Coturnix japonica: one gene and its partner. The protein of the gene in region 2 purifies or fractionates together with the protein of the main gene of each other region. This does not show direct contact. Links are inferred from orthologs where the notes say so. Each region holds a gene or a part of one and is shown on either strand. Other genes may lie near its edges.

Evidence for each region.
Region 1: the proteins of NOD1 (region 2) and RIPK2 purify together in Homo sapiens (affinity purification with western blotting; 4 studies listed by BioGRID and IntAct, with this or other methods). This does not show direct contact. The link is inferred for Coturnix japonica from reciprocal best matches to the Homo sapiens genes NOD1 and RIPK2.

The regions. Positions count from the first base shown.
Region 1 is NC_029517.1:112,519,154-112,522,806, reverse strand, and holds part of RIPK2 (receptor-interacting serine/threonine-protein kinase 2), read right to left. Parts: intron 3,361-3,653; coding exon 3,311-3,360; intron 2,980-3,310; coding exon 2,818-2,979; intron 1-2,817.
Region 2 is NC_029517.1:37,977,597-37,981,249, reverse strand, and holds part of NOD1 (nucleotide-binding oligomerization domain-containing protein 1), read right to left. Parts: intron 2,453-3,653; coding exon 2,369-2,452; intron 1,740-2,368; coding exon 1,656-1,739; intron 1-1,655. UniProt on the Homo sapiens protein: Pattern recognition receptor (PRR) that detects bacterial peptidoglycan fragments and other danger signals and thus participates in both innate and adaptive immune responses.

The DNA of each region.
Region 1 (3,653 bases), about 75 Mb from region 2:
TCATTGGATAAGACAAGTGATGGTATCTGAAAGCTCAGAGGCAGAAGCTAACATCATCTGCTTGCATAGGAAGCCATGTGACAGTTTAATAATCAAGAGACAGTCTACATGATGGTCCCTCATTTCCCAATGCTACAAGATTTCCAAAACAAATTATTTCACATTTTGAGGTGGGTATTACACAAATGTCTCCTTGAAGCTGTGCTCAAACTTCAGGAAAGGATAACAACAGGTAACAACTTCTAGTGCACTTCCTATGAACTCCACTGATTCATCAAAATCCATTTACTGTAGTAGGAACCTGTGGCACTGCATCTTATTAATGTATTACCATAGTTTTTACTGTTTCACTGTAGTTCTCCCAGAATAGCTCTTGTTTAACTGGCACTTTCAAGACATACGTTCAGTAGTGGGATTCTTGTTCTCTTGCATCAGCTTACACAGAATCTGGTACTCCATTTCACAATGAAGTACTAGGACAGTTTTTATTGATTTTAATTAAACTGCAGGTACGTGTTCCAAGACCACAGAATCAACAGAAGTTATGCAGAAACAGGGGAATAAATAGTCTTTGTCCGTTCTTTATAAGGGACAGATGAGTTAAGAAAACATTTCTATTTTAAGCATATTTAAAAAGGAAGGGAGGGGAGATGGGGGGGGAGAAGCTGGGTGTTACTTTCTTTTTCCCTGTGCTGTGGTGAATGCAAAATTTCCCAATCAGTGAAATTCACTTCCCTTAATTTTGAAAAACATTTCTAACTTCCTCATTCTTTTTATGATAGTAAAGGGAAAGCAACGCATGTTCTCTTCAAAGACCACATTAATTCAGGTACTGCATAGAACCAAAGACAGTTCATACAGTACATCTATCCCAGGTAATTACTCCTCCTGTGTGACCATAGACTTGGGCTGTCATTTTATTTTGAGTAACAGACATAAGAAAGCAAGAATACTAAAGGAAGTACTGTGACATGTTTACTTGTTTTATTTTTAAAAATATTATAAATAGATTTACTTACTCAGGGAAAAAATAATAATTAAACAGTCCATGATTTAATACCATATAAACCAGACTCATACAAAATAAATTAACATTTCAGAGAATACTTTTATGGCAAAGTAAAAAATGCTTCAAAAGTGGACAAAACTCTTTTCGGACTCCAAACTTTGAACATAAAGACGATAAATCTGTTTGGTTGCATTCTGTTTAGTTCTATTTTTCTGCAAAACTGGTCCGAAGAGTGAAGTTACAACCACTTATTTCTTAGCTGTCTGATTAGCATTATTCTAGTATACTGAAGTTTTATAAAGGGTTTAAAAATAGCAAGCTTTCATTCAGCAAATCTTCAAATGAGGTGCTTGGATTAATGTCCACTCTACTTGTAAGGAGCAATATACAACTCATAGGTTTATTTCAAAAAAGAATCCAAAAGTTTAGCAGATGACTGTTGAGCAAACCCAGAATTCCCAGCTTCCTCTCAAATAATGTGGAACTCTAAGACAAGTTTATTTTTTTCAGTCCAGATTTTGAATTATAATTAATAGCTAAGAGGCAGGAGGAGAACTGAAGCCATGATGGCAGCAGAGAAGCAAGAATCAAGAAGATCGGTTGCAAGGCTAATAAGCCATTTTAAAGCATTGCATCAAATTAAAACATTATATACTGTGTGAAAGAAAAGCTTTTCAAAAGCACTTATATGTATCTGATCGAGTTTGAAGACCAGATCTTGGGGTAGAATACAGCAAAAGCTAGAAGAGTGAAACGTGAGCATTCAGGTAATGAAACATATTGTTTATACCGAGGATAAAAGGATTAGGATAAAAGAAAAAACAAGATACTATAATTGCTGTTGATAAAGAGGATGGATGAAATACTCCTTTCATATCAGGGAGATTTTACACATGGTACAAAGAGACATGGTTTAATGATGGGAATAGATCATAATGACAGTTGGACTGGATGATCTTGAAGTTCTTTTCCAGCCTAGACAGTCTATGATTCTATTGGTGACTATGCCAACCCTAATAAGATTTCACAACTAAAAACTTGGTGATGACTTTCAGCCTATGTTTTTATAGAGCTGCTGTTGCACACAGAGCCAGAAATCACAAAAATATTTAGCAGCTTTTCATATTAGGGAGAAACTGGTATAGGGAGTATATCTAGGCTCAGTGCACATGCTTGTTAAGCATGACAAACCCAGGCTTGATTTCAAAACAGAATTTCTCTAGTTAACAACATGCCATGCTAATCTCTGCAAGCTCACTCTTCAATCTTCAGCTCTAAATTACATAATTCATTGGAAAAAGGCTGAAGTTACCTATATATAGACAAGAAACTACAGAAAGATTAAAAGGTACCTCTGTGGCCTCAACAATCAAAGTTCGAGTGAAAAAGATTCATCCATGCAAACATACAGAAATAAAGTGAAGTTACAGCAGCTCATCTGATGTGCAATGATTTGCTGCTTTGCCAGCTCTTACAAAACCCACAGCACTCTATGTATTTCACTCATTCTCCTCCCTCTTCTGAAAATAAGTAAATAAATAAAAAAGTCCCTTCAACAAGAGACGGCACATGTAGGAGACTCCAACTAACAAACTGTTATTATGGCACACATAGCTCCGTTCGTAAAAATTAGCTGATACACATGTTGGAACCAGACAAGAATTGCACACAATTTGACTGAGCAGAGATGAATTTTCTGACATTTTTGTCATTTCCATTTAGCAACTACACCCTTACTCTATATGTAATAAATGAGACAAAAAGCTGGCAATTTTAAGAACTGTATTCATTTTGCAAAGTAAACTTACTTAAGAACGATGGTCTTTCATCTGGGTTTTGTGCCCATCCACTCTCTATCAATCTTATGACAAGAGCTCGATGCGGAATGTCCATTGATAAGCTTTTTTCACTTAAGTCTAGTCGCTGTCCTTGTGACACACTATACATTATCTGCAAGGGGTTTATAACTTCTGTCAAAATAGACATCGTGCTTTCATTAGAAATATATGCAAAATAAATAGCTCACTGTAGGAAGAATAATTAAGATTGCAGTCGTAATATTTACATTTCACCAAAATAAGGCTTTCCTCTTTTAAAAGAATTCAAATACATTTTTTTCTTATCAATATTATAATTTGAAAAAGAGTCAAATCTGAGAAGTAACTCAATTACTTCTTGAACAGGTTCACAAATAGGATTATCATGAAGCAATCCCTGAAATGAAGTTCTGAGGAATCCAGGTCACTGGAACAGCCTACACCTAAAGCTAGAAAAATAAATTACAAGAAAACATGGCCTTACCTTCAAATGGGTGTTTCCTTGACATCACTTCCCATATAATAATTGCAAAACTGTTTAAAGTGTAAAAAGTATAGAAGACATTATTTTAGATTACCAACACTTACTGAAATAATATAGAATCATAGAATTGCACAGGTTGAAAAAGACCTTCAAGTTCATCACGTCGAACCACAGCCTAACCATACTATCCTAACTCTAACAACCCTCTTCTAAATCATGTCCCCTGAACACCACAAGCAAATGGTTTTTAAGCACATTCAGTGATGGTGACTCAACCACCTTCCTGGGGAGCCTATTCCAGTGCTTAACAACCCTTTCTGTAAAGAAGCTTTTCCTGATATCC
Region 2 (3,653 bases):
GCCCTTCCCACTTACATATGTGAGACCAGTTCACAGGCTGCAGCCTGATGCAGGTCTGTCACACAGACCATAAGGTTTGTGGTCAGCGAGAGCAAACTGACTTTTGGGACTGACAGCAGAGCTGTAGCTGTGATTTTGAAAGCTGTGGCCCTTAGCAAAGTGCTTTGGTGCTTTGCAGTTTATAGGTTTGTATGCTCCTTTGTCATCCCAATTCCCACTACAAACCATGCACTTTTTCCTTTAAGTGAGGTGTTCAGACACTTAAATGCTCCATTCCCCTTCCAAACACAATACCTTCTGTTGTGCAGGGAGATAAAAGCCTGTAAATGCATGTTTTCCATTATAAACCACAAAGTTTCTTAGTCTGCCCTTCATTCTTTGAATAGACATTGGCAGAATCACCCAGGTAACTTATGCTTCAGGCTCTGAGAGTTCAAAAAGCATTTCCATCCTTAGAAGACAGGCCAGAGCCTGAAAATAGCCCATGGCCTCAAAAAAGAGGCAAAAAGGGGACGAATTGGAGCAATGGCATCAATTAAGGTCTAGCATATGTGTTAGTATTCCCAGCTTCAGCTGAAACCATATATTCTCAGCCTAAGCATGGCAAAGACACAGAAGTAAAATGTTGTATCAGGGCCCAGCTTTCCTTCACCTCTGCATAAAGCTGCCACAGTTATCTGGTACTGTCTGTGCATTCAAATAATGGGGCAGGATTATCCACTGGAAGACAAGAAGTGAACCCCAGTGCAATCACACTGCAGAGCAGAAGATGCACCTTGTGCAGGTGCCAGCAAAACCTGGCTCTAGCCTGAAGCTGCTCCTCCTTATTTTTGCAAGCACATTCATCAGCGTATCTGTCTGAGAATCCCAGATGCAACACAGCTTTGATTCAGATTCCAACTGTTCTCTTTCAAGTCTGATACAGCTGGATGGCTTCTGCAATTAGGGGAAGATGGCTACTTCTGGTAGCTTTTAAGTTTAAATATATCTAGGTCATTGCACCTGTTCAGCTTTTAATTTTTTAAGCCTGGCTGTTCGCTCACTGAAAGGAGGACAAGGCACCAGCTCTGAAATCCCAGGCTCTGAAATGGCAGCTCCGGAGAGATCCCTGAGTCCGGTACTGCTTCAGAAACCAATGCCATGTGCCACCTAGTGGGGAAAGCCAGGAGCCTCCTCTCCTCCCTCACGTGGAGGCCGGGGGAACTGGAAGAGAACGATCCCAGTGCTCCAGCTGGATGGATGAACTCCGCATCAACAGCAGCCACAATCCACACCTATAAATCCCTAGTCAGGATCTGTAATCCTAGCAGGGAAGGTGTTGGTTTTACAGTGCTGCTTGCACTCCATACTGTGCTGCCAACTTCACCCACTTTAAGGCCTCCAGAGGGCTACTTAGAGTCTAATTACTGAACTCCAGCGAGAACTACATCTCATTACTCAGTTCAGGTTGGATAATAAGAAAAATTTATGCAAAAAAATTATTTTGCTTTATGGCTGCACAGGGCTTTTCAATTCAAACAACCTGGCCTCTTGCTTGCACCAAGAGTCAATTGCCAATGACCATGGCACGAGATAGTGGCCCAAGGTCTGAAGAGCCACTGCTTCACAGAGCACTGGGAAAGGCAGCTCCATGGCGAGTTCAGCTGCTGTTTTACCTCACGTTTGTCAGACTGGGGTGGTTCCTCAGGGCCTCTGCAAATGCCTTTGCACCTTCATCTCCAACCTGATTGCCCCACATCCTAGTGAAGACAGGAAACCAGGAGATATCAGACACAATGCTCTATTGCCCCTCAGCCTGCATTCTCTTTTCCTTTCCCCATTCATCCCCCAACATTACTCCCCAGCCTCTGAGAGCTGCAAGAAGCCTGGCATGTACCATCCCACTGAGCCAGGCCTGTTCTGCTCCCTGCACACTGCACCATCTATCTCTCTAACCCACCAGTACCAGAAGGCCACAGCACAGGAGCAACTCTGGGAGACAACAGAAGTGTGCGTGATGTTAATTATATTTGTGAAATCTTTTAGAACAAAAATAAAAGGCCAAAATCTGATCGTTCAAACCCGATTTTCATATTTAAGTGTTACTGTGATGATGGCCAAAGAAAAGCTTTAATTCCTTTCAGCATTACATTCTAAGAAGAATGCTCTCCTGCAGAGTGGAAAGAGAAAATGGGGATTGCCAGAGGGAACAAGTCAAACTCTCGCATCTAGCATCAATCCTAAGAAAGAGCACGGACTAAATGTTTTCATTATGACCTCTCTCCAGCAATAGCAAGCTCTCCAGTTTAGGACAGAAGGATGATGTGGAATTCCTTTATATTCTCACAGATCACAGATTTATCAGGACTCTCCTTAGCACTGAACTTACCCGATTTCAAACATGGTTGTGCTCTTCTGGATGGCCTGGGCAAGGCACTTCCCTCCTTCACTAGTTATTTTGTTTGCTCCTATCCTGCATAAAATACAAGAGCTGATGAGGTACACCACTTACAACAGTACAGCTATTACAACACCAGCTCATGAAACAATACAGGTATTTAAGGCTAATTAATTCTGGATGCTAGTTACAGTTATCAAAGATTAACCTAGAGTAAAAAATACTGCAGGCATTTGACCTTCAATTAAGAGAAAACATATTTTGTGTGTTGGCCCTCCAAGTTGGACATATTACTACAAAGTCTTGATTTTGGTGCTAAGTGTGTCAGAAAAAAGCCCTAGGAACTGATCTTCAGAGCAAGGCTCCCTGTCTAGCTTTTAATACAGCTCATAATACCAGCTGTTGCTGCAAAGTACATGAATTACATGCAGCACATTTTATGATGCCACAGGGAACAGAACATTTCTTGGTAGCGCAAGTCGAGAGCAGACTGCAGCTGATAAGCACAGACTAATAATTTCAAGTCTTTTTGTTCTGAGCACTGGCTACAGGCACTGACATAGATCAGAGCACCAGTGGTTGGTGCTCTATAGAATCTATTATTTGGCCTGCATGGGAATATCAACTGGTTGGAGTTCAAGACAGAGGTAAGTCTCAATTGCTTACACATTACTGTAAAAAAACAAAACCCAAAACCCCTCAAGCTGCTATATTTCCATAAATTAAAACTTTTGTCTGGTTTGTCTGACTGACTTCAGGCACATGAATACACACTCTATCTCAAAACCATCTCTGGGCTTACTAGGAAGCCTGACAGAAACTGTCTTCCAACAAGCATTTTTTCCTAGTGCAAGTTAGAAGATTAAATTAACACAGCACCCTGTCAAAGCAGTGACAGAACCAGAGTGCTCTTGGGTTTCAAAATCCTGCAAATATTTCAAGCAGGAATTATGTGGTTTCAAAGCAAGTTAGGGATAGAATAGCACCTAGAACCCAACAATCCCTGGCTGCTGGTTGCTATATTAACACCAGCAGTTGCTATTACTGTAGTTACCTCTATGTTCTGCTGTGGTCACAACTAAACTATCAGTTAATGATCTACCTTTCTGTTAAGTCACTGCTGTGTATGGCCAAACACATATCTGGAGAAGTTCCAGGACTTCCCAAGTGAAACAACTTCTCAGGTGAATCTGGGCTATTCCAGAGCTGAGATAATGACACTGGCACAGCATGACTGCTATAGCCCATAAAAGGCCAGATACCAAGAAGCTTGATA